Linked DNA regions of Bombyx mori. The protein of the gene in region 1 purifies or fractionates together with the protein of each later gene. This does not show direct contact. Links are inferred from orthologs where the notes say so. Each region holds a gene or a part of one and is shown on either strand. Other genes may lie near its edges.

Evidence for each region.
Region 2: the proteins of uncharacterized protein LOC101736064 (region 1) and putative transferase CAF17 homolog, mitochondrial purify together in Homo sapiens (co-immunoprecipitation; 4 studies listed by BioGRID and IntAct, with this or other methods). This does not show direct contact. The link is inferred for Bombyx mori from reciprocal best matches to the Homo sapiens genes ISCA2 and IBA57.

What each region holds. Positions count from the first base shown.
Region 1 is NC_085109.1:8,398,161-8,414,798, forward strand, and holds uncharacterized protein LOC101736064, read left to right. Parts: upstream 1-5,562; 5' UTR 5,563-5,710; coding exon 5,711-5,964; intron 5,965-8,097; coding exon 8,098-8,275; 3' UTR 8,276-8,406; downstream 8,407-16,638. Other genes in the region: uncharacterized protein LOC101735939, read right to left, coding at 9,082-9,181, 10,361-10,487, 11,511-11,654, 12,617-12,749. UniProt on the Homo sapiens protein: Involved in the maturation of mitochondrial 4Fe-4S proteins functioning late in the iron-sulfur cluster assembly pathway. May be involved in the binding of an intermediate of Fe/S cluster assembly.
Region 2 is NC_085131.1:8,725,659-8,741,589, reverse strand, and holds putative transferase CAF17 homolog, mitochondrial, read left to right. Parts: upstream 1-7,606; 5' UTR 7,607-7,786; coding exon 7,787-8,791; 3' UTR 8,792-8,794; intron 8,795-8,877; 3' UTR 8,878-9,238; downstream 9,239-15,931. Other genes in the region: uncharacterized protein LOC101745117, read left to right, coding at 1-57, 2,869-3,031, 3,612-3,755, 4,639-4,843, 5,483-5,719; ubiquitin carboxyl-terminal hydrolase puf, read right to left, coding at 12,388-12,629, 13,510-13,714, 14,453-14,587, 15,120-15,259. UniProt on the Homo sapiens protein: Mitochondrial protein involved in the maturation of mitochondrial [4Fe-4S]-proteins in the late stage of the iron-sulfur cluster assembly pathway. Operates in cooperation with ISCA2 in the maturation of [4Fe-4S] proteins.

The DNA.
Region 1 (16,638 bases):
GTTTATGATAGATGTTAGAGAGGGGGACTCCCTATCAAAACCTTATATTTTGTAGGACAAATATTTTTTGATGTTATTTAGATAATTAACAAAGAAAAATGCGGTTAATAATATTTTTTTAAATTTCGTGAAATCAACATATTTTATTCTTCTACCCCTGGTAAGCTACCATTTACCAACGTTACTGTAAGGAAAAAAGTTGGGCGTCTAGTCAAAAGGAAGCTACTCACGAAAAATCAGCTTGTTAGTAATAAATGATGAAAAGTGTACCAGGGATCCTGTACTATCAGTTTAATTGATGTGTCTTGATGTCTGTCTCTGGATACCGAAACCGTTTAACCGTCGAAAATCTTTCGATTTTAATATGTTTTTTTTTTATTAAGAAAATCCTGGTGTAAATTTCCGATAAGTCGTGGGTCAGAAAAACGTTAATTGAAATGTTGCTGTGAACCACCAATGATTTCACAAACAAATACCTGATATGAAAAGGATGTGTACCTATTTGGCAGGCAGCGACTTCGCTATGCTCTTGGCATTGCTGACTTCCATGAGCGACGGTAACCACTTGCCATCAGCAATGAAAAAAATTAAAGGCTTATGGTAAATATTATTCTGAAAACAGTATTAAAGAATATATCTGTGAACTCTTCCACGGCTGGTGGGACGATAGTAAAGAAAAGAAAAGAGTAAACAGGCAGAATCACAGAGCGAACCGTTACCCCACGATCTATAGAGAGGTCTATGTCTACAAGAGAAGGTTATTGTCACTTCGTAACAAGGTGACAGTTCACAAAATTTGACATGACATTTCGTTATGACCTATGCAAGTGTAATATCCACTCATGCGGCTCGCATGCACATAAATTCTCTCCAGGTCATCCAATCCCGTTTCTGCAGAAATACCGTCAGAGCACCGTGGTACGTGACGAAAGTCGACCTTCACAACTATCTAAATGCAGAACCGGTACGTAAGTATCTTAAGGTAATGTCAGAACGCTACTTGGACAAAGCGGCGCGACACGATAACCCTCTTATAGTGGCTGCCGCTAATGTCTTGTCGCATCCACCGGATCCTCGTCGAGCTCGTGGATCACGTCCAAGAGTTCGACGAGCGAACTAACTCAACTAACCTAACTGAGTTTCTTGGAACTTCTCAGTGGGTCGCGATTCCAATGCGTCGATAGATTCTGAGAAGCTCTTGCCAGGTCTAGTGTTATCAAATTCTCTCAGTTTGAGCCCGTGAGCTCACCTACCCGTCCATGCCAAACTGGAATAACCCTTTAGGCTATCAGTGATTAAGTAGGTAGTAATAGTAGGACAAAAAAAGACGGAACCGAAGTCCGCCCGCAGGTCCAGAGGTTCCAACTGGTCAACTTCGTGTCTGAACAACAAGCACTTTTTAAAGAGGTCGTGGCTTAAAGAATAAACGCTCGATATATTCGTTTCAAGAGATGGAACTGTACCGGTGGTCAAAACCTTCTGTGATGAAGGAATTATATCGTGACTTTATAAATCAAATACGCAAAATTTATAAATTTGCATAATTATACCTGTGGCATGGCTTATAGCTAGCTCGACCACCATCCTGTCTATTTCTTCTTAGAGGCGATAATGTGTTGTCTTGGAGGGTAAGAGAGCTACCAACATACTACTCGTACATACTCGTAATTTAGATTTCAACCCCATTTCTCACGTGGGCGGCGGCATTCATGTTGTACGGTCTACAAGCTCTGGTATCCAATTAACGGTAACTCATCAAGGCCAGAAAAATAAAGTATTACCTAGTTGCTTCGAATGAACTCCACAGATTTCGTCCGTAGGGATTGTTGAAAATTATAATCTCAGAGCTGATTTGGAAAATCTCGGTCTATGGAGAAAGATTTACATTGATGCTGAGGCAGTGGCTTTACTGCTCCATCAGCAAACCTAATGTCCGCATGCGAAGCGTTCACACTTACTATCAGGTAGGCTGGAAGTGGTCATCCATTTATTAAGACAAGCTAAAGGAGGAGGAGTAAGCCAAACATTTTAAAACTCATCCGTATTTAAAAAAAAAACGAATTCGAATCGAACTTGGTAGGCAGCGGCTTGGCTCTGCTCCTGGCATTGCTGAAGTCCATGGGCGACGGTAACCACACAAAGGCAATAAAAAAAATTAACATTTTTTCGAAGTTCCCATTCTAAAATGCAGCCATTTTGAAGGCATGAAGGAAAAAGTCCACAATAATGATCATGGCAACGAAAACATTGACTCATAATTATAAGCTAAATCTCATGTAAGTTATTGGACGCCTCCAGAAGCTCATCTGATGTGGATGGCGATAACAAAATGAAACCCGAGACGCTATGCTAGTTATTACTTAACTGAGTGGCAGATTATTTTGCAATAATTTCAATAACATTAAGGTTTCAAATTTTCTGATACTAGCAGATTATGCATGAGCGATATGCATAATATCTCCCGGAATGCCACAGATATCCTTACATAATCCCCTTTTTCCAAAATTTAAATGAAGCCGTTAATTCCAGTACTTCCAAAATAATAATATGTAGGTACTTCAATATATTGATTGCATGAAATGTGAAAACTTAGAAACAAAATGTTATTGTATTTTTTATCATATTTTTCTTTTAAGGCCCATAAATTTCGACTAACTTTGACTAAGCTTCGACTAAATCTTTAATTTCCACTATCTAACAATTTTTTTATGTTAGCATAACACAGACTTGAACTTTCTGCGTTGCTACAACTAAATTCATTGACTAGCAGCGAGATTTTGTATTTCTACCGCCAGCGAAAACCTTTCCGACTATTTGTATTTATCCAAATTAACAAAGTGTAATCGTTGTAAGGCGAAACAGGGCAGGTACGTATATCGTTGAGTATATGTGGTAGTCCTGGTAGGTCATATTGTGAGCTAGAATCAACAACTATCGCCATTTTATCTTTTTTCCCCCGAAGAAGAATAATAACGAATCAATGTAATCAAACAAAAGGGTCTAAAGGTTTCGAATACTGTAGCTTTTTACATATTTCTATGTGAGGTTAGTAGATATTGCATATTTGCTGTACTTTTAAATAAACAAGTTTTAATAGTAAATATTTAGGTAAATGATAATTATGTTTTTTTTCTTTCAGATATTTATAATTATTTGTCCCATTATATACAACGCATAGAGTGAATAAATCACAAACGCTAAATTAAAATGTGTGTTACAAGATTGTCTTTGAAACAGACTAGTATGGCCAGACTGTATGCAATACCGGTCACTCACATACGCACGAATACGCAAATCCGCAAGTGTAGGACGACATTTGCAAATGATTATGCAAAGTTTTCGCTGCATTCGTGGTTTTCCAAGCTGTGTCGGTTTTTTAACAGACATCAAAGCGCGCGAACCGCGATCCTTCGCGTAGTCTCCCACACATTCGTGTGACCAGTTGCGCCCAGGATTGCGAAGGCAACGGACGTTTCGCTATTTTCATAGATCGTGACGTCTACTGTGTAGCGTATCTTCATCAAAAGAAATCCCATAAAAACAGCATCGCTGTTAATGATATCCGGGAAAGACTTCAAAACTCTTTTACTCTTCAATGTTCTATTGACGAATTAAAAAGGAGGAGAAATTCGTGAGACATTGTAAAAACGGGTTCGCAAATTGAGTACCGAACCCATTTGCACAGCCGCTAAGTTTGCGAATGAATATTTGACGGCCCTTCACATGCGCGCAAACATTCGTACAATGTACGAATATTTGCGCGCATGTCAGTGGCCGGCATTAGTGTATAATTTGGGCGAACATCGATCTTTTCTTTCAAATTTACATTGAAGTTTCATTTTCGGAACCCATTTCATTTTTCAGCTCAAAAGCTTTTGTCGTGCAACGTTAAAGATTGGCTATTTTACCTTTGTTTATTAAACTACGCAAAACAAACAAAAACACAATTAACACCAGCGTGGTTAACACTCTTTTTTTATCTACCTTTATGCTAGTAATCTAGACTATTTTGGTTTTACCCTTACTGGCACTTCGTAGAAGTTAAACCTTCAGAAGTATTTATCGTGCCAGAACGCAGAAACAAACGAGACTGAGAATTTTTCAAAGCTTGGGTTTGTTACAAAAAGATTCCAGATTAATTCGAGGCCCGAGGTCGTGTAGGTTAACGTTCCTCACGAACCACGGAGCTCCTTACGGATGGCTTACTTGCAAAAGCGGGATTGTTGGGATTGGAGGGTGTCTATGTGCGTGCGGGCCGCGTGAGCGAACACCACATTCGCGTAACGCATAGATTATACACTTAATATAGCGTAACGGTCGCGGACTGTCATACAGTATCTATGAAAGCGAATAAATGGATACAATGAAATGGAGTCCTAGGGCGTGTCTTCTTGGGTTCTTTGGCTTATTTATTTTCTATTTCTATTTTAGATCATCAAGGTGTTGATACATTTTTGTTACAATTTGTATTTTACAGCCATGGATTTAACCTAAAAAACTTTACACGTATAGCGTTTGTTTCTTTTGCTTACATAAATTAGAAAAACATGTTTTGTTTTCTTTAATAGGGGTGTCAATTCTTTTCGAAAAATTTCGAACTTAAAAATCGATTCGATACTCTATCGAACCACATAAAAAATCGAGGTCTAAAACTTCGATTATTCAAGAAGCGGTTTTTTTCAGTTTGCATTCAGCTGGCAGTGACCCTGACTGCGCCGAGGGTTATGGGTTCGATTCCCACATCGGGCTAACATTAGTGTGATGAAAGGTTTATTGCCTGAGTGTTTATTATTTATATATCTATATTTTTAAACATATATAAGTATATATATCACTCTCTGATACCCATAGCACAGATAATCCCAATCTGGGGCCAGATGTCCCCTGCGTCATTTGTTCCCAGTTATTAATTATTTATTCCATCTGATCGTGCGGTGTATGGAGTATATAAATAAATAATTTACCAAATATGAAGACAGAAATGCAATTATCGCTTTCAGAGGAATAGTCACTAAAGGACTATTGTGTTTACCACAAGAACTAATGTTTAATTAATAGGAGAAAAATATAATAGAGATGAGATTGCTATGGATGTAGAATTGGAAAGTTCATCATTGAAAATAGTGCTAGTTCCAGAAAATTATGTGCGGTTTTTTTTATTGAGCTGCCAATTGGTTGCTTTTTTTAAGTTCTTATGTGGGTGTACGAGCCCACGGCCCACCTGGTGTTAAGTGGTTGCCGTAGTCCATAGACATCAACAACATAAATACCATCATCCACTTTGAGACATGAGTTTCGAATTTTAATTTTTATAGTACAATTGCTGCCCTACCCTTCAAACCGAAACTTAATACTGCGTCACGGCAGAAACAGGCAGAGTAGTGTCATTCACCCATGGGGGCTCACGAACAAGTACGTAAATTATAATTTTTGCGCATTAGATTTTTATTACACGATTAAAAATCGATCTTATTTGGCCAAAAATCAATGTCGGATCGGCCTCCGTAATTCTCGAAAATTTTCGGTACAAGCAAAGCGCAAGTCTACATAATATGTCATTGTCAATGTCAATTGTGGTACACCTATGTACATAGATTATACACTTCCTATGTATGTCTCAAGTATCTTTATGTAGGCTGTGACTAGAATAGAATTAAATAATAAACTTAGTTAAAGCACTGGAAGATATTTTTCTAGAATACGAAAGAAAATGTTTTTACGTTTTAGAAATTTACACCAGTTAAAAAAGTTTGTTAATGTAAACACATTAAACAAAAGATTCTCCCAAGAACCAGCAACTTCTGTTTCAAGTACAGATATCAGTATTAGTGACAATTGTGTACAAAAATTAAAAGAATTATGTAAAGAAAACGATACCTTTCTGAGGCTTTGTGTAGAAAGTGGTGGATGCTCTGGATTCCAGTATAAATTCAACTTAGACAATGTTGTTGATAGTGATGACAGGTATGTATTAGAGCAAAATATCGAAGTACTCTGCTATACAACTCACTTTTGATTGCATAAGATAGTGGCAGAATAAAAAGAATAAGAAAAGAGCTGTAACAAAACTCGTGGAAAGAATATTCAGTGCTATTATTTTAGAAATTAAGAAGCATTCTTGTCAAATATATAATATCATTTTTCAAACTCATTTTTCATTCTGTATAATAATAATAATGAATATTATATTGTAATATTATTCTTCATTTCTTTATCAATGTAGAAGACATTGTGTTTTCTTAATGGTCTAAATGAGAGACTTCAATCAGTCTGGACTAAATTCCTATATCCCAAAAATATACACAAGTACAACAAAAGTTACTAATATTATGATAACTTAATTAGGAAAATCAGGACCTTTTATTAGCAACAAATTTTTATCAAAGTAATTGCTTAGTCTTGATTGGTTAAATTCTCCTGCATTGGAGTTAAAATAATAGCAACTAATCAAACACTATGAAAACAAATAAATAACCTTTAAGAATAAAACTATACATTTTAAAAGAGAAAAATTCTATGAAAATAGTGCTGGACTTGTGGTATACTAGCTGTTACTTGCAATGCTTTGCTGTTTTTTTGTGTAATATGAAACTTATACTTTTAATAACCAATTATGTATTACAATCTTTTATATAATAATAATTTATTTATTAACCTTGAAAACATTTACACATAACAGTTTGCTAAAAACTCTTCACACTAGGCACTGCCTGTCTCATGGAGAGTTTTTAGATGAAAGGCCCAGGATTGAGTCGTGTGTAGTGCCATGGGAGATGCCTAAGTCCAACAGTGGAGTAAATAGGCTGCAAATGAAGTACTTATACAATCCAACTTCTTTGTCTCTCTCTCTCTCTCTCTCTCTCTCTCTAATATATATATAATAATTATATAAATAAGTATATAATTATATGAAGCATACAAACCATACTTGTAATATATTATAAATAGAATTTGCTTCTTAACCTTGCACATCTATACCAAATAATTTGATCTTTGATGAGACTGATCATAAAATTTGGAATGTAGATTATCAATGATACAGAAAAGCACAGAGAATACTGTCCGTTCAGAACAAGAAGCTGTTCTAGGGATATGTGATTTCTATTTATAGATTATAATTTCTTTTATTGCCCTTGTAGGTATACAAGCATACAGCCCACTTGATAGTGAATGGTTACCGTCACTCATGATCATCACTAATGCCAGGGGCAGAGCCAAGCCGCCGCCTATAATGCATGAAGCAGAGTGTAAAAGTTAGTAAAGAATAAATTGTTCATTATGTATCCATTCATTTATATTATAAATAAAATTAGTGTTAAAATAATTTTTTTCAATAATTGCCAATTTAATTTTTTTTGGGTTCTGAGCAAACATTTAGAGTATATTTTATGCTTGATTTGGTAAGCCAATACATCATAATTATTTTTTATGATCATCTTAATATTTTTATATGAATTTTTATGAAAGGAAAAAGAGTATAAAAAGCCGATACATCTTTTAGTATACTTTATTATAACATTCTCATTTTGTTGCTACTCTAATACAAAACCCTATAACCCTATTAACCCTATTACATACCACACCCTTGCCCCTTTTGCTTTAATATTCGTTTTTTTTGTCAATATTTTCTCTTGTTGAAAAATTATTTTAACGATGGAAACCGATGCATTAGCAGTAGTGACTTTTTAATAATGAGGACATCAAGATAGCTAGACGTAAAATGATTGGCTTCATTGGACATGACAGCCTAAAAAAAAATGCATTAATTTTTAGGGGCATTATGAAATGATGAATTTTTAATCTTCAAATTTACTTGAACTTTATTTTGTTATGTTTTTTTTTATAAGTTCAAGATATTCCAGTTGACGTTGTTTAAATATCAATCTCGTAATTTCTGAACTGAAAAAAAATACTACTATTCATTACTACATTTGCCAAAGTTAACATTTTTGCCAAAGGGCCTAAGGAATTTAAGGTTATGCTATTTAGTAATTCAATGTTTTTGTAATTGCATTGAATATGTACGGAAGCTCGCATTATTGTTTTAAGGAAATAGATGAAACAAAACTTCATTGACTAACCAAGTTTTTTTTTCAGGATATTTGAAAAAAATGGTGTCAAAGTGGTGGTTGATGAGACGTCACTTGAGTATATTAAAGGTTCAACAATAGATTATCACACTGAACTTATTAGGTCTGCTTTCCGAGTGCAACAGAACCCAAATGCAGATATAGGTTGCTCTTGCGGTGCTAGTTTTTCTATAAAAATTGATTGAAATGGCCATATTAAACCACTGTAAATTTTTTATGCAATTATGGAAAATAATTTAGTTAAGAAATGAATGATTAGATAGATTATAATATGTGTTTTAATAATACTTAGTAATTAAACTGTAAAAACAATCTACTTAAAGAGTTTAATGATTTGAAAATACCTAAATCTCTTTTAGTTAAAGACAAATATGTTTCAGTGACCATTATCAAGGAGCAGGGCTCTCAATTACCAGTCATTTTCATGTGATAACAAACAAGAGCTGACAGATTGTGAACAATTATTAAATAATGAATAGTTCAGAATCTTAGTGATAAAGCTCTTTGAAATTTGTTCCATACAGAGTGGTTTGAGAAACTCTTCCAGATGATCTCGTAAATTTTTACAATCCGCCGTCGGAGTAGAATTTGTTGTTACCGTGAAAAACACTGTTTGGTTTGGACTGAGAATGAAATCCCGTCGTTATTTCTAAAGTCTCTAGTGGTAGATAGCGGCTGACATGTGTTTCTTATATTGCTAATATCCACAGAGGATGTTGGGCGCTCACCATTAGGTGGGCACCTTGGAAATAAAAAAACCGTGTATTTAAATTTTATATACAATAAAATCCTCCAAAATCGCATGGCGCTATGGTGGACCTTTTGACAAATCCAAATATCCAGAGGAGGAGGAGAGGCCTTACAGGCGCTTTGGATTAATCGAGGGTGGACACGTAAACGATCTATTTACAACGACCATACATTCTAATATAAAAAATATATATTTAAAAATGTTATTTTATTTCATATTAAGAAAGAAAAAACAAAATTGTCAATGAGACTGAGATACATTGATTGCGGCCCAAACGTTGTCTAGTTTCGGCGACGGCAGAGTTATCATGGGTTCGTTCTTAGAGGAATTCACAGGCAATCTGAAATTATTCAAATAAAATTATATTTATATTATTGAAGAGTATTGTAATTTACCCATTAAACGTATGTATTTGTAATATGCGTACTATATACACAGTTACATCTGGATGCACATAAACAAAGAACGGATGTGAATTGGTCACGGCGGAACCCACGCTCGGGGCTTGCTCCACATGAGAGCGCCGTTCTTTTTCCGTACCAAGCCATCGTCAAGCCGGGATAGAATCTCGCCTGAAATCTGGTTGTGCCCGTATACCGGTTTGGGGACCAGCAAAGCAGACCCAAGAAGACGACGTGTTAAGGTCCTTATCATACTAGCGGTTTGCGAGCGCATGCAGGGCCGAGCATATCCGCCGCGAATACACCGTGAAGACTCGGCGGCTGCTCAGTGAGGACATCGCGGCGTCGCCGACCCGTGGTAGATACGCAACGTTTTCGTCGCGTATTTGTAGCGAGTTAACGTCGTACAATACACTCAGTAACAAAACTTGTTACTTCGAAGATGCCGAAGACGAAAACGAAAGCATAGACGAATTTGGGAGGATCCATTATCAGTTAAATCGAATGGAAGAGAGCGAGTACTTTGTTATGAGTTATTGCACCTGATACTGACTGAAGTGAGGCGGGTGGACGGGCTGGCGTTTGTACGAGACGATAAAAAATGGCGTCTACGCTGCTATTCGCGACGATCTCCTTGCGCGTCCGTAACGAATTCGCTGCGCATACGCGGCGTGTTCGTTGCGCGCCCGCTGCTTTGAGAACGCTCGCAATCCGCTATATAGTATGATAACGCCCTAAGAGTGACGGATGACCGCACTCTCCGATGCATGTTGGTTCTGACCCAGTGGAGTATCCAGGAGTTATGTGTTCGCGGCGATGTCTAAGCGGGCTTCGGATTGCCTGCCGACCGAGATGCTCATTGGTCATTCGGCCTGTGGGAGTAGAATTTGCGCGATCCTTACTCCCGCCCAGTCTCGGTTGAGTTTTGTCTCATCTGATGCAGATTGTTGAGCGACAAGAGGTTTTATTCCCGTTCAATTTAACGTATGCCGCTTAGTCCCTGCAATCTATAAGCGGAGGGCCGGCGATTTCTTCCGGACCCAAAAAATTAAGAAGTGTATGTATCTAGCAAGAAATCTAAAAAAATGTAGTTTCAAAAAAAACGTGCTAGGACTCACTGCTGAAAATCCCCAGAAGAAACGAAGGCGTCATTGACTTTTTTCACATTGTGCGGCGAATAACGGTTGTACTTTCCCCAGATACTATTCATGAATTTGCTGTTATACTTTACAGGTAATTCAACATCTGAAATTATTTTAACGATTATTACTTACATTAAATAACTAACTACCAGTAATACGCCTATTATCTTAATATAAATTAATATTTTTGATTATTCAATACTGAAGTCGTTGTGGCCTAAAGGATAATCTCGAATCCCACAAGCAGTGAGCTTAGTGTCAGTTTTTTAACGTTCTCGATAGCGTAAAAGTTAACTCAAATCTGTAGGTACCTATGCAGTTGGAACAGCGCCCCTAGTGGCAATTGTAGGCAAACGTATATTTCTGCCGTGAAAGAGTAATAAGTTTCGGTAGTACCAAAAAACTTAGACTGACTCGGAATTCGTGTAACAAGGCGGATGGTGGCGTGTAAGTTTTTGATGTCTATGGATTCCGGTAATGGGTTGGGTAATTCCGGTGGGTTGTCAGCTCGTCTACCCATCTAAGCAATAAAAAAACACGTGGTGCTCTCAACAATATCGGACAGTGTTCAAACTGAAAGTCTCATTTGGTACTTAAATCTAATATGAGCTACACTTTTTTAGAGCCTGCCATGAGCACATGAGCTTACCTGTTAAGTGGTTACCGGATCCACTGTTTTGTAGCGGTTATCAGATCCAAAGATATCTTAAAGCTAATACTGCCACCCTTGTAGAGAAATAGGGTGAAAGTCGCAACATTAACCTGCCCTTCGAACCGAATTAACCATCAGAAAAGGCATAAGTATTATAAGAGAATTTGAATTAATAGAAAGCTGGGTAGGTGATTTTTTCTTCAAGTATTGCCACCTCATTCTTGTTTATAATAAATCTGTTGACGACCGTTCACTCCTAGGCTTGAATCACAAACGGGATGTAAAAACATAAGAAAAGTAAATTTTTGGCCTTAGCCTAATAAAATCGAATAATTTGCTAAAAACAATGGAATTTAAGTTTTTTTATTTTATTTATGATATCTGTGAACCTGTAACATGCTTTCATATCTATTTACCATTTCTATAAACAGTCTCATTAAATTTATGTAACTTATTTATTCAACAACAACTCACTTGTGAAACTGAAATATTTGTCAGGTTTCTTGCCCATATCAACATTGGGCATCTTCAAGTCACGATTTTCACGTTGAGTTTCACGGATACGCCCAGCCGTAAAAGCGGATGGCGGAATGCAAGACATTTTCTTCAGTTCACAGGCTGGAAAGGAAATTAGGATATTTCTCAGAACAGGATCTTATATTTAGAGAACGGTGTTAGGGCGTATCTTGGAAAGATACCTAATGTAGAAGCCGGGGATTCTAATTTCCATTTGCGGGAACCATTTTGCTTAAAACTTAGTTACTATTAAAGTACTTACTTTATAATTAATGATTAATGCATGAGTGTTGTGTACTGATGGTATTTACATTTTAACTGATACATTGATCTTAACATACACACTCAGCAGAAAAGAAACGGCAACAGCGTATTATCCCAACGGGCTGAAACTACATACCGAGTACATTGATATTTTTTTTAGATTCTGCTGAAATTCATTCGAAAACGTGCTTGAAGAGTTTCAGCAAGCTAACTTAACCATCTACGAGAAGTAAATTCATAGCAATATGGTAAAGTGGGAGGGGAGTAATGTTGCGAGATCTTTTACCGAATAAAAGAAACCCGGCATAAATATGAATCGCGATAATACCAAGAATTTACACTCGCTCGGTACACTTTATATTATAAGGAATTAGGTTAAAAATACATTTTAAATGGTCTAAGTAGGTATATTATGTTGTTTGCCAAATAATGCATTGCAAAATAACTGTACGAAAATTGGCAATATAAATAATTCTTAGTATTTAAAAAAACAAAAAGTAATAGCTATGGGGTTATTCTTTTGTGTGTAGTAAGCTAGGCTTTACCGGACACGACATTAAACAATATTTTTACTACCGAATTACTTCGAATTTGGACTATATTTTGACAAAGAACTGAAAATGTTGCGTCAATATTAATTAATACGCTGGCTGGTTAACATGTTTTAATCATTGGCAATAGTAAAAGCCTCAGTGTTTTTCTAAAGTATTTTTTAAAATAATTTAGGAACAATATGAACTTTAGATTAATATATAGATTGTTCGCCATATTTAGAATGTGTTATCGTGTTTATAATATACCTTTACACAGTTCGAAGATTAACTTGCTCAGTGTCACAGTTTTCTTTTGTGCAATGATGAGCTCAAAACTATTGGAGTCTTCGCAAACGCTGCGGTACGTGCAACGAAATTTTCTTGGATTCAGCAGCACCATGAATTACACGGACCAAAGAGAACGACTATTACAGTAGGCAATAGAGTAACTACTGACAAGATGGCTGCTCAGTATGAGTTCACGACCCCAATGTCCAGTTATCAGTTTCCAGCGACGAGAAGGCGACGTAATGTTTCAAATACACAAATATGATAAGTTGTTGGTCCTAAAGTTCGAACATACGCACAGGTGGCTGTGATTAAATATTGTTTTAAGCTTTGATCATAACACATAGCAACAAACATAGCTCTAAAAATATTAAAAATCCTATTTAAACGAGCATTTACGACTAATGCTAAGAAACAAACCCGATGTCGTAACGTCATGTTAAAAGTAGCAAAAAATTATATTCACACAATATGTCGTCACTGTCAGCCAAATCATTCATTTTGTTTGTTTGTTTTATATAAGTGGACGAGCTCCCGACCCGCCTAGTGTTAAGTGGTTACCTGAGCCCATAATCACCAACAACGTAAAAGCCGCCAGTCACCGTGAGACCTGAGTTTTAAGTTACCGTTTTTACAGTACAACGGCTGCTCAGCCCCCCAAACCGAAACGCATTACTGCATATTAGAAATAGGCACGATAGTGTTACCTACCCGTGCAGGCTCACAAGATACCCTACCACCAGTAAAAAACGGTGTAGGCCTTTTGTCAGAATAATGCTCTTTATTCTGAGCGACATATTATTATGTTGTACATTCTCGTATGACTATAACGTAATATATACGTAGTTATTTTATAATAACCTGTCCCCACCTACTACACTACACTACGCACACACACACACACACTACACCTGCCTACACTACCTATACACTGTCCGTAGCGCGCTTTGGGATTGTTTTCTTTCCGTCCATGTTAGTCCACTAGTTCCGTTGATTTTTTTTATGATTGACAGCTTACTGGTGGCCCAGAGGCCTTTCCAGTTTCACAAGGACAGGTTGGCGAGCAAGGGCTCAGCCAGAAAGGGCGGGATTTGCTAACAGCTACCCGAGCGCCTCCAAGGGAGACCTAACAACTCAAGAGTAGCTGCTTCGCGAATGAATCTACTACCGGATCGGAATCGCGACCCGCTGAGAAGATCCGGCGAGAAACTCAACGGGCTGATGTTAAGGTTAGGTTGCACGTCGAACTCTTTGCCGAGTTCGACGAATACGGTTACCGGGGTCTCTCCTAGTGTTAGAGTGGAAGGCGTCTAATGCAAGGGTTATTGCATCTGATGGATCCGTAAGGATGTGGAGTTCCGTTGTTACAATAGCTGCTGCCGTAAGCAAAAATGGTATTGCTTTGGACTGGGAACGATTTATAGGGTTCTATATATACTTATAAGGAGATGCCATCCATAACAGACTTGGTAGACTTGGTTGGAGATAGAAATACTATTTACTTTCCATAAAACATGCCGTTGTCGCTTGTCCAAATTTATTTTCTCCATGCAGGTTCATTTGAATGGTTTAGATGATATGACCGTTCCATGCAAAATACACGTTTTACGTTATGTATCTTATTTCATTTGCAAATATCTGTCTATGTATATTATATAAGGCTGCTTACAAGAATAAAGACAAGAATACTTTACATAATAGCTTTCATAATCATGGTAATTAGGCGTCACCTGTGCTGGGTTATTTGTATTTTTAATTCAAAACCAACGAAACAGGTTGTATTGTAGGTACAGGTATAACTTGGTTCACTTTATGTAAATCATATTATATTGATATATTGGTCCGTTGCTATATGAAAAACGACACAACCAATCGCACATCGCTTAAATATATAATAATATGTATTAGGATATTATTATTTTTTTCCTACCTATGCTGATAGCCTACAGCGGCGAGATCAGCTTCTCCTTGACTTGACGTGTAGGTGAGCTCATAGGGCTCAAACCGGGAGTGTTGCTAACACTGGCCCTAGCAAGAGCAGTGCTTCGCAGAGTCTACCACCGGATCGGAAACGCAACTCACTGAGAAGATCCGGCGAGAAACTCAATGGGCTGTGTGTATGGGGGTATATTACGATATGGCATCCTTAATATAGTAGCAAGCATCGACCCATCTTTCTATATGGTACAATATACTTACAAATCCAACTAAGCCTTCAAATTACGGAAGACAAATCTTAAAGTTTGTTTATAAAATGATATAAGGAAAAAAACATTCGAGTGCACGTAATGTTTCCAATATATTTCGAAACTTAATTAGAATTACAAGAACGTCATAAGTATTTTTATTTAATAAGAAAAACAACATTTCATATTGCTAGCTGTGAGTTATTGAAGTAACTTAATTTTTATTTAAACTTATCATAATACGGACAAGCATTGACCTTTGTAACCCCTTATCTATTTGGGTTCCACGAATATGTGAATAAGTACAAGTTTGACAGTAAATTCAATAAATACTTACCTGTTATTTTGTAATCACACTGTTATTAAATTTTATTTCCCTTAGAGTGAATTTATGATAAGCACTATGTTTCTATGTTGAGTTTCATCAAGTTTTTGGGTGGACAGTCGTTTAATACTGTGCCTAATGTGCGTTCTTAAAATTTTTAATGACACAATCATTATGTTTGTTATGTTTTTTTAAATCTTAAACTAATAAGGAAACAATGTACTACATGTAGCTGATCAGATTATTTTTCAAAATAAAAATAACCGCAAATATTCGTATCTACGTACGTAGATACTTGGGATGAAAATGCAACCAGGCGCAATTGTATATAAGTAATATAAAATGAATATAATTCATAATAATTTCCAAAAGTAGCCATGACTTTTTTATTACTATTACACAGGGTCCCCTATTATATTTTCAGCTGCATCTATTATCTTAAGCATTTGGTAAATGAACTATAATTGCCATATTTCATTTGATTGGCAACTATATGCAGTCTATGGAGTGCATAGCGTGACTGAATTTTCCATGTTAGAATGAGCTACTTAATCTTAGGTGGTCCCGCTCTGATTATAAAGGAAAAATCTATATTTGATAGAATGTTTAATTTGGATGTATACAAATTCGGGATAGTCTCTTAAAATATGAATGTTCAGTGCCTCATGTTCAATTATGAATGAATGATTGATTATGGCGATCCCACAAATCTCGATTTTTACCATCACCGCACCGTCCACCACTACAGCAGAGTTCGTCCGCACTACTGGAACAATTGCGCTCTCCCTTCTTCATCCCAACAAATCATTAGTCTCTGACATGAACAGTTCCAAAGCGTTTCATGAACGCTATGACTTTCAAATGAGATTGAAATCTTACCGTTAACGGTAGTTAATGGTCCTTGAATATCAGTGAGCATTTAACAGCTGGGCCGTATTTATCAGTACTGATCAAAGGCATAAGAAATAATAAATAGCTCGGTATCGATTGGGACTCGTATACATGTGTCGAAATTGAAAACAAATCCTATTAATCTATAAGTTCTTACTTGAAAAAGAAAACGATAATATAAAGTTACATCACATTTATTTCTGATTCATATAATGTTGCGGGTATGTACATTTCAAATATATATATAATCTATAAATAATACTGAGAAACGATATTCAAAATTTACAAAATAAAATTAGCGCATGAACATTTTACATATCTGTAAGCGTCGAAAAGCTTAACTGGACAAGCTCCGACCCTGGCTTTGTTACAAACTGATTTTTATGGGATTTAGATTATAAAAGGAACAAACACCAGTGAATATTTCCGTTATTTCCTGAGTAAAAACTTACACAACTATGTAACTATTCAATAATGTCGTTAAAATTTTAAAGTAACATGTATTGTCATATTATTATTATCTTAGATGATACAGATTTCTTTATTGTTTCTTTAAGTACTTAAGATAGATATGCTGCTGTAATAATTTGTACAACGTT
Region 2 (15,931 bases), on another chromosome or scaffold:
CAGGTACGGTAGTACCAAATGTCCAATTATCAAAAGAAAATATTATTATATATTCAGGTGAGTGTTTTTTAAATCAGCTAACATTCTGTAGATGAGTATTTATTATATTCACTTAATGGTGGTAGGACCTCTTGTGAGTCCGCGCGGGTAGGTACCACCGCCCTGCCTATTTCTGCCATGAAGCAGTAATGCGTTTCGGTTTGAAGGGTAGGGCAGCCGTTGTAACTATACTTGAGACCTTAGAACTTATATCTCAAGGTGTCTATGGGCTCCAGTAACTACTTAACACCAGGTGGGTTGTGAACTCGCCCACCCATCTAAGTAATAAAAAAAATTATTCAGCTATCTTTACGTGTACCTACTACTGACTTGATTGTTTTTCATTTATCGTAGAAGTGAAATGGATGTTGAAGTCGCATTACATTATCTTATTTTATGTTGGAACTAGAGGGAGAAAAGTATCTTGCGGAATAATATAAATTGAGGATATTACGGATCGGTGATGTGGATGTGGCAGAACTCGAAAGGTGGCCCACTCTCGGGTCTTTTAATTAATAACCCGATAGAGTAGACTATACTTTAATATAAATAGGCCCTTTACATTAAGAATGTATGAAAAGAAATAGTTTGTAAAATTTGACGATTTATTTTATATTCTCACTATTAATTTTAGTCAAGATAATAAGCCTCAAAACATTTAGTCTCCGTCTTTCAATTTCTTATAACATTTATTATGTAGTCTCTTACAGAATTCACACAATATTTAAAGTTGCATAATATATAATAACAAATAATAATACATAGGTAATACATAACATTTTTCCGCTTCCGGTGACAGAATAATAAAGACGTGTACTCGTTTGCTCTTAAAATAATATTAAGTTTTACCTTAATACTCAAATATATCAAGTGTAAAAAGTCACAATTCAAGATAATAGAAGATACTTTATATAAAAATAAACAAGAAAGTTTGTGAACAGTGTTAATGTGCAACCTATTTATGAGAAATGAAAAAATAACCTCTTGAGATTATTATTTTTATATTTTATTTTGAGGGTATTTATTTTGATAAATACAGAGTGAAGTAAGTCACAGTTTAAGCCACAGACAATTCGACAATTTACATTCAAGCTAGGCAACTTTCAGAAACTATATCGATATAATCGGGGTTGCCAGATCTACTTTAAAATTATACCAGAATCATCTTAAAACGATCTACGAAAAATCGTAAAACAAAAATTTTCACTGAAAAATGGATAATCAAATGCAAATATTATTAGAAAAAATTCAAGAGCAAATGAAACAACAGACTATCGCTATAACAGAAGCTGTAACTAAAAATGTAGTGCAACAAATTGATGAACGATTTAAAATGATAGACGACGAAAACAAACAACTTAAAAATTCAGTCAAAGAACTTAAGGAGAAAATTAAAGGTCTGGAAATGGCTAAAAAGAAAACTAACATACTACTCTTTGGAATAAAGGAAGACAAACAAGAAGGGTTAAGTTTGGTAAAATACATATCTGAAAAACTTAATTGTCATCTAGGATTAAGCATACAAGAGCACGAAATTATGAATATCTATAGAATTGGAAAGATAAAAACTACGCCTCGACCTATTTTAATATCCCTTGTATCGTACTGGAGAAAAATGGAAATAATGAGGTCCAAAAATAAACTACCCCAGGGTATTTATGTGAAGGAAGATTATACTAAAGAAATATTAGAAGCACGCAAAACATTACAACCAAAACTTGAAGAGGAACGAAGGAGGGGTAACATAGCATACTTAAAATTAGATAAACTAATAATCAAGAGCCAAACGGATGCTAATCGAGAAAAAAGGAAAAGAGACCCATCTTCTTCGCCCAATGTCAGCACACCACGAAAAGAAAATGAATTGTACGTAGCTCCGAAGAAAGTCAACACAACTAATGCGTACGAATACATGGCACGCGTAAAATCAAACTCATTAAGAGAGAAAACCAATGTATAGCGATCACCATACACTCGAAACCGGAATAATAACAATCATTATAATACAAACCTGCAAAAAACAACCAAGAAAAACATTCCCCCAAGCCGGCTGGTCCCCGTGGGGGAAAATGACCATAACCCTCCAGTAAGCAAAACAGTACCTCAAAAATCAATACAAATTGGAACATTTAATGTAAAATCGTTAGCATCCATAACAAGATACATAGAACTAGTATACCCACTAGAAAAATATTAGGCTTAGTTGAAGTTAGACGGATGGGCAGTGGCATCGAAGAGCATCAAGACTTTATATTCTGCTTTAAAGGAGAAGCACCTGGCATGCGTAAAGTAGGATTTTTAAATTTAGTAAGCTTCTTAGGCTTATCTTAAAGAGTTGCAATACCTCAACTGGAGTTCAACAGAATGGTAATATCAATCAATAAATCAAGTGTATGCACCAACTGAAAAGGATTCTAAAGAAAAATCGATAAAATTTTACGAATCACTACAAGAAGCGCAAGCGCAAGCTAGTGAAAATGTCCTGTTAGTGGGAAACTTCAATGCCAAGATAGGGATAGCTAAAACAAAAGAAGAAAATAATGGATGAAAAGAGCTAAGAACAAAAAAAATTGGATTAAGCTGGAGGAGGCCTATACCCAAATAGGGGTTCCTATCGAAGAAAAAGTTTGATGTACGCAAATCAAATAAACAAAACTGAAAATAGATCAAAATGTAAAAATCATATTACGATATATATTAAGAATATTTACATGTAATACTTAGGTGATGGGAAATAAAAGGCTTTATTATTATTATTATTATTATTATTATAATACATAACATTTAAACCTAGCGATACTCCTGACCTGAAACTAATCAATTTTTAAGGTAACTCAACTCGTCGAATAGTACTGGACACTTCTAGGTCTTTGTTCGGAAAAGACAATGACTGCCAGTATGCCGAGTATATGCCTGTATTGTCAACTGTTTTCGCAATTACGTGGATTGTTATGTTCACAATCTGTCCGGGCGGAGGCTATGCTCGAACTGGGTGAGATAAAATCTAATAATATTATAAATTAATGTCCACACTGTTAACACACACAAATTCATTTATTTAAACAATTATAAGCACAAATTGAACATATTGCATTACTAGCTGAGTCCCGCGATGTTACACGCGGTTATTGTCGTACCGCGGGTCACGCCGCGGGACGAATCTAGTCCAGTGAAAGTCCCGTCAAAATCGGTCCAGCCATTCCAGAGATTAGTCGGAACAAACAGACAGACAGACAGACAGACAGACATACAAAAATTGTGAAAAATGTTATTTTGGTGTATGACCGTATATATATTCATACGCATGTAGTAAAAAGCGGTAATTACAATATTACAAACAGATACTCCAATTTTATTTATATGTATAGATTAACTACACGACTGTGCATTGAATTGATTCAAAGTATATATGTATCTGTTTTTTTACTTTCTCGATCGTGTAAAAGTTAAATTCGTATGGAGTTGGAAAAGCGCCCCTAGCGGAAAACAAAGGAAAATTAAATAACTCGCACTAAGCACAATGTTTTCTCAAATATATGATTTAACACAAACTTCATTTTCTATATTTGCAGTCTCCAGCAGCCGTGGCGTATATTAATGCCAGCCTTGTTATTTTCGCTAGTAATGGCAGGTCTCACTGGCTATAGTTTTACCATGACGAACAAGGGCCTACACGCGTTCTGTGAAGCATTTTTCGATATCACCAATTCGACTAAGTGAGTGCTTGTGTAGATACTATTTTCAAAATTTAAAAAGTATTCGATTCTGGATTTGACAGCAATTATATGATATTGCCTTTTGAGCAAACAAGCCATGGCTTACCCGATTAAGTGGTTACTGGAATCCATACAAACGTTCACGAGTGACTTCCACGGTGAAGGAATAACATCGTGCAATAAAAATCAAACCCGCAAAATTACTGGTGGTAGGATCTCTTGTGAGTCCGCACGGGTAGGTACCACCGCTCCACCTATTTCTGCCGTGAAGCAGTAATGCGTTTCGGTTTGAAGGGTGGGGCAGCCGTTGTGACTATACTGAGACCTTAGAAGTATATCTTTTTTTTTTATTGCTTGGATGTGTGGACGGGCTCACAGCCCACCTGGTGTTAAGTGGTTACTGGAGCCCATAGACATCTACAACGTAAATGCGCCACACACCTTGAGATATAGTTAGTGAGTGAGATATAGTATAGTTACAACGGCTGCCCCGCCTTCAAACCGAAACGCATTACTGCTTCACGTCAGAAATAGGCAGGGTGGTGGTACCTATCCGTGCGGACTCACAAGAGGTCTTACCACCAGTAAAAAGTCTATTAGTCAGATGACCCAAATACACCACATACTACACATAGCTACTTTGAGCTACTATAACTTCTCGGTCATTGGATCGTTTTAATAAAATAACTTATTTGCCTATTTAAGTTCTATCTTTTTACTGGTGCTAGGACCTCTTGTGAGTCTGCGCGGGTAGGTACCACCACCCTGCCTATTTCTGCCATGAAGCAGTAATGCGTTTCGATTTGAAAGGTGGGGCAGCCTTCGTATGTTCCTAATTCGAAGTCCTTTAAAGAAGGATGCTACAACTTTTGTTGTGTGACAGCTGTTCATCTGTGAACGAACATATAGAGCGAAGTTGGGAAGCGACGTGGAGTTTTAGCGGCAGAGCGGCGACGACACGTGCAGCCAGCGCTGCCGTGTGGGCCAGCTGGGCCTGCGCCACCGCTTTACTGTTCGCACGCTGCCTAGCCGCTCCCGATTTTCAAGTCAAGAAAACCAGCGTGTACCTTAAAAGGGATCCACAAAACGTAAGCCGTCCAGCGTACCTAATTGTATTTTTTTATACGTCACGAAATTTTAATGGTTACTAGCTGACCCGGCAGATTTCGTAGTGCCTCAATCGATAAATAAAATACCTAAGCTTTTGTATAAAATAAACTTAAAACAAACAAAAGAAATCCGTCCGACGGGGGACACATTGAAGGAAAAACAAAATTGGTATTTTTATCTAATTCCGAGCATTTTCATATTTATCTACCTTTTAAACCTTCTCTGGACTTCCACAAGTAATTCAAGACCAAAACCATTTTAGTCAAATCGGTCCAGCCGTTCTCGAGTTTTAGCGAGACTAACGAACAGCAATTCATTTATCTATTCGACGCTTGAAAGGCAAACGTGACTAAGCGACAATTTAACTGCTTTTTACATAAATGATAGGCAATAACAATATTCGAGGCACAAAAAAAAAATTTTTTCTAGGTCTATTAAAATAATTTCAATCCTACAGCTAGATTCGTTAAAATAGATTTTTTTTCAAGTATTTCAACTTTAAATTAGTCTACTGTAAAGTTCACGCATTGTCGCTTAGTCATGTTTGCCTATCAAGCATCGAATTATATAGATTATCGTTCTTATTTTGTGATATTAAGAATATTTCTCTTTAATAGAAAATCACTCCTTATTTGAGAAGAGCTTCAAGGCATTCGCGTTCATCGAATAGTTCGCCGAACAAGCGCGATAACGTGTCAGCGAAATCCGAACCAACTGCCACCACTGAGCTCGTTACGGTTTCATTAGAACAGGAATCCGTACCTGCATCTCTTGTAACAACACCCCAGAGGACGTCATACAACACAGACTTAATAGAAATGACTCACAATCCCGAAGAACGAAAAGAGAAGTAAATTATTTTAATGTAAATGGTTGATTTCAGCTTCAGACGTACATAAAATGTATAGACTGGTTTTTTGTTTATCTCCTATTATTCTACCTACGTATATTTATTTGATAAAATATACGTACAAACATAACTTAACGCCATATCGTGGTCCAGTGGTAGGTATCAACCTAAATTAGATCTAAGTGTCAGATTTATATTCAGTGTCGTGTTTGATTCAATTGAATTTACTTCCTAAGTCTTAATCAATTTTATAATCAAAGAGCATCATCCAACGCAAAGTATATTCTCCCAAGCTTCGCACTGCGAACTATCAGTCGACAGTATTGCATATAAAAATGTTATTACGGATTTAAAAAACTGTGGCAATCTCATTGATAATTTACTGCTAAGCTTCTTTATTTGCCATTTAAATTGAAATTTTGCATATATTGTCATATCTACATGAAAAACTAAGGAAGCTTAGATTTCTTTCGTTTTGTTTTAAATAATTCGATTTTCTTCCATCAATTTCGTCACTAGCTTCTAGAAGACGCTCAGTCTTTCTGTGTTGTAATTGTGTTTGGACGACGCCGCCCACGGATTAAGCATGGTGATAAGAAAGCATTATAGTTGCAAAATTTATGAAGCACCTAAAGTAGGTGTATTTGTTATGGGGATTTTGTGATGTTGTAAGGTAACGTTGTTGCCTACCCACGCAATTTAAAACAAATCAGAGATTTAATAAAATGTAAAATTTAAAAACATGCGGAAAATAGTGTCTCATTTCTGAAGCCAAGAACGGTAAATTGTGACATGTAAATTATTAGTCTTTGATTGGTTCGTTTTGAAATAAAAATATTAATTTTGTAATAATATTAAAAATCTGTGCTCAAATTCAAATGGTCAAATTTGCGTTTCTTGTATTTTAATACAATAATTGGAGTTTTTTAAATTGACAAAGAACATTAAATGGGCCTATAAGAGCCAGTATTACAATTACTTTATAAGTTCAGTTTAATTTACGATTTTGTAATTTTCGCATTTATTTTTACAAATTGTTTTTCATTGTAAGATTTTCTCTATTGTGACTAATAAATAAATTTATACACATGGAATACATATTTTCCTTCCTTATTTGATTTGTAATCCTATTCACCAATTCACCTATAAACATTTCGTAGTCTAGCCGACAGGACGCCTAATGTATTCATATCAAGTGATGCGACTATTGAGTGTACTTTATATGGATGCGATTGGCAATCTACGTTAAATGCACAATCTCCACGAAGAGGCCATAATATCCTGCGATAAAAATAAAATTTGAAAAAGTTAGAGTATCTTGCCTATTTCTATCTACCGCAAAGTGAATATACGATGATCATAGAGAAATTTCTATCTCTCCATTATGATGTGTTTGACCATTCACCATTTTTCTATTATAATAAAAGTGAAAATTATACTTTCTTACAGACGATAACACCGAATGAGGTTGATCCTTTGGCCTATAAAAAGGTTAAGTCAATTCTAAAATTTTCTTGTCAAGTGCACTTTTTGGCGGGAACGTGGGGCGAAGTTGTACAAATTGTTTTATTTTGTCTACTTAGTGTATCTTCAGGTTTAATGTGTAATAACGGTCGTTTATTAACTGTTTAGTATATGTGAAAGTGCACAAATGTTGCAAAATGAAACAAAGCCGCTGAACGTAATTTCTCGGAATCCTTCAAAAAATTCACTGAAAAGTTTCAGTAAATGACCATCATTTTGCTAAGATTATATCTCACTCCATATCATCTCATTTCATTTCATTTCATGTCATATCATGTTTCATATTAATCAACCTCATTTCATTTCATAATATCATTTTTCACATAAAAGTTTTCATTAAAATGGCTTGACCTAAAAGTCTTAGTTACCAGGTCATAATCCCATAAAAAAATGTGTCAAAACTGTCAAATAAATTATGAATTTGTTGTAAAATTTAATTCATAAAAATTTGATTTTGTCGGAAATAGTCAAAGCATTGCAAAATCAGGAACCCATTTCAAATGACTAAATGACTTCATGGTGTGTTTAGATAAAATTTCCAACCGAAATGTTACATCAGGTAAAGAAGTTTTTATTTACTAAATCGTTACAGAAGCAATTCTCGCGATACTCACACGTCGAAAATCCTATTCTTTACCCATTAGAAAGTCGAAAGTTATTAAATATCGCTGGAAAAGATGCCGGTGTATACCTACAAGGTCTTATTACTAATGACATGAGACATTTCGAGGAAGGTGCATCGTCGATTTATGCTATGTTTTTAAATACCAAGGGCAGGGTACTCTACGATGTTTTGATTCATAAATGGAATACTGACGATTCGTTCCTTCTAGAATGTGATAAAAATGTTATTAGTCACATACAGAAACATTTAAAAATGTACAAATTAAAGAGACTAGTGGAAATAACTGATTTGAGCAACGAGTACAAAATACATGCTTTAGTACCAAATGTGAATATTGGTGTAGTTACTCCAACACACAATGTTAATATATATAAAGACCCTAGATTGCCTGAACTTGGGATGAGGATTATATCACCAATGTCAATAACACATTCTGAATTAATAAAAATTCCCACAAAAGATATTCAAATTAAGAATAGTGAAGAGGGATACAAGTGTCTCAGGTATAAGTTGGGTGTAAGTGAAGGATCTGAAGATTTACCGCCTGGAGTAACCTTTCCTTTGGAAGTGAACTGTGACTATCTTCATGGTGTTAGCTTCCACAAGGGTTGTTATATTGGACAAGAACTGACAGCACGAGTTCATCATACAGGAGTTGTAAGGAAAAGAATAATGCCAATTAAGTTTACACAGGCAGTGGACGGCTTAGATAAAGATTCTACAATAAATGCTAGTGAGAATCCTAAATCAACTATAGGAAAATTAAAAGGTTACATACAAAATTATGGACTGGGTCTAATTAGGGTAAAGGAAGCTTTAGAAGCAAAATCATTAGTAATTGGAAGTTACACTGCAGAAGTATTAAAACCTACTTGGTGGCCTATGGAAGCACCAAAAGACAAAGCAACTGTTGTAAAGGCTGAATAATGAGTAATCACAATTTAAATGCAACTCTACAACAAGTTATTTCTAATAGTTATATAGATTATTTTAATGTGCATAATATTTTCCAGTAACAATGACAGACCAGAAAGAAAAACCCACAGAAGAATCCGTACAAGTCCTTCATGAATTCAAATGTTCATCATGCAATATAAATGAAAAAGCCCATTACAAAGGCACTAATCCTCCATTCTCCCGTAATATTGTCTTAAAATATCCAAGTTATGTAATGAAGGATCCATTCAGTCCTCCGGGTAAAGGTGAAATATTAGTGCTTGGAGCAGATTGTAATATCTGTGAAAAATCTGTGTGCATAAGTAAAAACTGTAGTATTTTTTACCACAAAACATATTGTTTGGATTGTGCATATCAAAACGTTGATAGCTTTCCTATTGAAATTAAGAATAAAGTGCAATGCCAAAGAGGAAATTATGATTTTGTTTTATTTTCACACAAAGAACCATTGGCTTATTTTTTATTTACTAGACAGGTAACAGGAATCATGACCTGCTTAGATGGTAATTTCTGTGGTTAAGTGATTACCAGAATTCATAAAATCACCTTTTGTATGCATTTATGCTCCCTGAGACATGAGTACATTTAAAATGTACAATATAACGGCTGTACCACCCCTTCATCTGAAATGCTCGATTGCTTTGTCACAGAAAAGGTAAGTTGTGTAAGGTGGTGCCTACTGAGGTTTATACCTACCACAGTTACTATTCTTTTCCAAGTCGATCGAAGTTTACTCCCAATGCATTCTAATGTTCCTGACAAATATAAAGGTTTATCACAGTTGATGCTGTGCAAATTCAATTTTGAACTATCAAACATTAAATAAAACAATGGCTACAAAATACTGTTTACTTTGGCTTTCCAATCCGATTTACAGTATTTTCTTAATTTTTCCACAAATCATAAGTAACAGTTACATAACTGAGACAATCTGTTTCACTACATAAATTTAATTATGATACAGAAGTTTAAAAACGAGAGGGGAACAGTGCACGCCCACCGTCCCTCACCATCGCGCCATGCTGCAGTACATACAACGAATTTAGAAAATAAAGATAATTATAGCATAGTTATATTAAAATGTAGGTATATATTAATAAGCTCTAAATTAGGACAAAATTAAATATAGATTTTGTCTTATATCATCAGTCACTCCATTCAGATTGATAGCACCACAATACATTCATTACTTTCACAACTTGTACAGTGACTGCTTCATCTCGTAACAAACGCCTACCGGTACAATATAAAATAGATTCAGATGTTCACCAATATTAATTATATGCAAATGAATATAAAAATTGAAACTTCTAAAACTGCTTTAATTCGTTTTCTTTTCTCTGTTATTACTTTTTCGTTTAGTTGGTGCACGAATGTTTATTGGTAGCTATATGGGGGTAATCATATTTTCATATAAATGTTCGAAAAACATTACACAATTAATCTACTGAATGAGAAACAAACAACGCTTAAAAGTACTACAGGTATATTTGCGAATGCAAAACCAAATATTAGTTTTTTGCATTGTGTTACTATAAAGATATAAAATGGACACGTTTTTGCATTCTATGATAGTCAATATATACATTATTTCACTAAATTTCTATACATGAATTCTTGATCATAAATTCAAAAATTTGAGAAAAGTGAATGCTACTATTTGAGTAGTGCATTGATTGCTTACTAACCAAAGTTTTCAAAACGAATTTGAAACAATAACCATAAGCTTCAATAAAGATTCGACGTACAATATAATATGTACTGGCCAAATTGATCCAGAAAAAAAAAACAAAGTACACGCCTTGGACGGGAGAGACTCAATTATAACACTTACGATATGATCTACTAGTCAGACTTACATAAACAGGGTTGGTTCGAAGGGTTTCATTTGTAATTTTTGACCCAAATTTTCACAAACTGAAATTACAACTTTCACAGCCTAAACGAATTTTTCATTTCTCTCTAAAGATTATACATAACTGCTTACCAATTTCACTAAATTCATAACATTATAAAACCTATAGTCATTTAATATTATGAGGGACAGTCTTTCACAACACAATAAAGCAAATCAGTAATTTAGAAATGCAAAAAAAAAACTAAATAAAAAATCATTGTCCTTAAAATAGTTTTTGGTGTCAAATTAACAGCATAAATTGCAGGGTTTCAAATTTATTTATTTTTATTCCAGTCATTTCAATTCGAGCAGAAAAAATGCGTGATGTGTTGAAACCCCGCAAATTAGGTATTAAATGGACCCCATAGAATTTAAAAAGTGCGGTGGTAGTTGTAAAAGCTACACAGTGTACAAATGATCAGAATTGATTAAGATTTGTCATTTAATACTTCCACAACATAATCCGAAGTATTGTACAAGAATCTTAATTAAACATGTTTTTTGAAACTTGAATAATTATTAAATTTTAAATCTAATTAATATGCTGCCAAAACAAATATGTCAATACACTAAATAGTCTTCTGTATACATAAGAATACAGAACTGAAACAACAGAAAGTACAATAGTATATGCTTCATTTATCTAAACAGTTCACATACGAGATAGTGAATGTTTTTTTTCATCACTATGTATATAAGTCACGACCCTCAGCAATGAGGAAACGACAGAGAAGAAGAAGATATAAGGAAATCTAATTTACTTATTTAGCATACATGTCGCGAGGCAGTTGCCAAAGCATAGTCGAAAAGGACCAACAGAAATAAATAATAAAATACAAAAACACTGTGACTCTTACCCTTGTGCTACTAACAGTTATTAAAAGGGAGGTTTCATTTAAATTTGGAATGTACAATTTGATATTTAACTTTTTATTTAATTTGATTTTCTATGCAATCTAAGATCAATCTTAGATAAGTAAGTACTTTTAAAATACAGTTCAAACATACAATATTATATTCGTGCACAAGACACAAAATCAAGATCCATTTATTTAGTTTTTAACATTAACCAACACTTCCAAACGTTTATTAAAATGAGTTTTGAGCTAATTTTGTTATGTAATTTTATATCAACATAGTTTTTTACCTAGCAACACCAAAATTAACATCAAATCGACTTTAAACATCTTAAATAAATAAAATTTAATCTTATCTAATTTCAGTATTCTGAAACCATTTTTCCTTTGTATCACACATTGAACAGAATATATTATACGTAAATTAGAGTTTGATTAGAAATAAGTTACTGCACAACGCACAAAGCTAATTAATACAAGAAGAATATTATATTTGCATGACGATCAGTAATCCAAAAGTTTTTCGGTCTCTAAAGAGCATTCCATAAATCGATTTTTTTTATCACATCACTATTTAATTATGTCATTTCCGATTGAATTTAAAACAAAATCACGAACTCGATAACGAAGTTCAATATCACAATCGACATCTATGACTCCGTAGGGCGATCACTTTGCCAGTTTAATGTACACGTCACTGAACCGAAGACGGATAGGGCGCCCGCACTCGCCTCGCACAGACCTGACGGCGCCCGAATCGATTTTCACCGAACGTGAAGAGGATCGATTTCGCGATACAGTCGAACGGTACCCTATCCTTCCCCCAGCATGTGGTGCAGCATGTCGACGAGTGTGTTGAGGGCGAGCGCGAGCTGGGCGCGGTAGTGCGAGGGGCGGGGCGGGCCGGTCGGCGTCGCGGGCTCGTCGTCGGGATCGTCTTCGGGATCGAAGCCCGCTTCCTCCGCGTCCTCTGCGTCGCTGCCCTCCGGCGTGTGGCACGCGACCGTCTCGGGCGGACACTCCCTGCTCGTTTCAGGTTCCGATTCTTCCTCCTCTGTAGATCGCAAAATGTTTTTTACCTTTCAACGATCGTTGAAAACTTTGTCATTTATATACGAATATAGTTAGTTAGGTTGAACTCAATAGCTTTAGTACAACAGTTGTCATGCCCTATAACGATATACTTATCGAATTGTGCAGAAGTAAGTTACACATTTGCACGGGCCAGCAGTATGTACCACCAGGAGAACCCCAGATAGAAACTAAGATGGTTTAGAAATTAACTGATTGCATATAGAAATAGATGGGATTTAAGATACGATGATTTGGAAGTAATAGCTGAAGGAGAACGGAATTACTTTACTGCATCATCGACGATCGAGAAGAACCTAGAAATTATATCTCAAGGTGGGTGGTGCATTTACGTTGTGAATGTCTATGGGCTCCAGTAACCACTTAACACCAGGTGGGCTGCGAACTCGTCCACTCATCTAAGCAATAAAAAAAACCGGTTTATTATTCATCAAGATTTTTTTACTTAAATTAGATCCAAACTGGCCTTTATTGAAACGAATGAAACAAATGAAGTAATGTTAAAGAACAGCTGTCGATTGTTTTCCAAGATCATGAACAGTTTTTTTTTTCTTTTTCTTATTGCTTATATGGGTGGACGAGCTCACAGCCCACCTGGTTTTAAGAGGTTACTGGAGCCCATAGAAATCTACAACGTAAATGCGCCACCCACCTTGAGATATAAGTTTTAAGGTCTCAAGTATAGTTACAACGGCTGCCCCACCCTTCAAACCGAAACGCATTATACTGCTTCACGACAGAAATAGGCAGGGCGGTGGTACCTACCCGCGCGGACTCACAAGAGGTCCTGCCACCAGTTAAGATGTGGAGGAGCATTGAGGCGTGTCGGTGGAGGTACGTACCGGGCGGCGGGGCGTGCTGCAGCCGCTGCTGGGCGAGCAGCGCGGCGCGCAGCATGTGTCGCGCGGCGGGCGGCGCGGGGCGGGCGCGCGGCACGAGCAGCACGAGCGCGCGCACGCAGCCCAGCACGCCGCCCGAGCACGCGTCCGACCCGCGCAGCTCCTCCGCCAGCGACTCCGCGACGCCGATGCATCCCGGGTCGCGGGCCTGCATACACGACTTGCTTTCATACGTTTTCTTTTTATTTAACTATAAATCTTAACGCTTATTTGTACTAGGATTCTTAAATATATATAATTATAATTAACTAGCTTTTGACCGCGACTTCGTCCGCGTGGAATATAGTTCACAAATAATGCTTTACTTAAAAACGAATTTGGTTAGCATTAAAAACGTTATAGTGAGCCAACCTTAACATATAGACATATGTTGACGCGGACTTTTTTTTAGATCTTTTAAAGGGGAACAATTCTGGCACACATTATTTTAGCAAAGCTTTAACCGTTTCTACAGCGGAAGCTCTCAAAAGGGAAAAAAACCCGATTTTGAAACACTCTTTATTGGTGTTCCGTTTGTATTGGTCTTAGCGTGATGTTATATAGCACATAGCCTTCCTGAATAAATGGGCTATCTAACACTCAAATAACTTTTCAAATCGGACCAGCAGTTCCTGAGATTAGCGCGTTCAAACAAACAAGCTCTTCAGCTTTATAATATTAGTATAGATAAAAAAAAAATACAACTTCTAAACCTTCTAAACTTAAATTACTATATTCCAGTGACGCTTCTATCCTACGAAAAAAAAAACCAACACTCTTCGGAAACGAAATGAAGTGAATTAGCTCAAATACAAATAAACACGAAAAGAGAATTGTTTAGTAATCTTAAGACGTCGAATTATTTAAAATGATTGTAATGTTGCACTGTACTCAACGTGACTCTCACCTTAGGCAGGTACAGTTGCATGAACTCGTAAATAACGATGTCTTCTAAAGACTCCCGCTCGTCGAGTATTATCGCGTCAATATATTCATTCAACACGCTGCACTCCAATAACATCTCTTCTAACTTCGCATCGGCCTGAAAATACGAACTCAAAAATTTACTTATTATATCGGTAAATATGTAGAACTTGATCAATTTTGAAGTCGTCGTGGTCTTGAGGATAAGAATCCAGATTTTTATTTTAACCGATTTTTTATTATTATTTATTATTATTTTTAAAACCGATTTCTGGCCCCGTGAGCTCACCTACACACGCTAGGGTAAGCTGACATAGCCTCTCAAGGCTATCAGCATAGGCAGGAAAAAAAAAGTAGAACATGTCAATCCGCGATTCGCGGGCGTGAATGTCCTACTTTTCTCCCTCGGTGCGTAATGTACTATCATACATTTTTGTTTCTTTTTTCTTATAAAATACTTCCTACTTACTATTCACGAACAACTAATGCGATGATGAAATAATATCGTGTAATTAAATTGAGGGATTCGAACACCGTGGCATCGCTTGATGCAAATGCACCAGGGGTCTTATCATTTAAGCCACGATTCAAGCATATTAGTGGTGGAGCACATCCGATAGTTTTGTCCCGATGTCTACAAGTATACGTACCGGCGTGGAGGCGACGTCTCTCCAGAAGGCGGCGAAGTAGTTGAACCGGAGCGGCACGGCCTCCAGCGCGCACAGCGCCGACAGCAGCACCAGTTGCTCCGACATGCAGCGCTGGCTCCGAGCGACGCGACAGCACGTGTCTGCGGAAACGATACCTTCATATATTCTACCTCAATAGTTGTGTATTTTTGAAGTGAAAACTTCTTTAGAATCGTTGTGATTTCAAACCGGATGCAACGGAAAAAACGACAGGTAAGAGACACAAATACAAAAATGTGTAGGATGAATGAGACAGAAATATACATACTATTTAATACAGCGCCATCTGAGAATTTTTAATACTAACGTGTGTATGAAAGCTCTTGTAGTGAATTTTAATTTAGGATTATATGTGAAATTAAAATATCAATTCACAGAGGGCGCTACCTTACAATTATTTACTAATGACAAAATTTTACATATACTTAAGACGTTTAGGATAATTGTATTTTAATTTTGGAAGGTTTCACTTCTACCAAGTGTGAATTGCACACATGTATTTTTTTTTTTAATTTACATGAAGCATAAGTAATGATTAGGGAAACGACTGTCTTTTAATTTTTTATTGCTTAAATGTGTGGACGAACTCACAGCCCACCTGGTGTTAAGTGGTTACTGGAACCCATAGACATTTACAACGCAAATGCGCCACCCACCTTGAGATATAAGTTCTAAGGTCTCAGTATAGTTACGGTTACTGTGGCAAAGGGTTGCGTAAATAAATATGTAATAAGAATTATTCTTTTTTTCTGTCATTTATATCTAATTCCTAT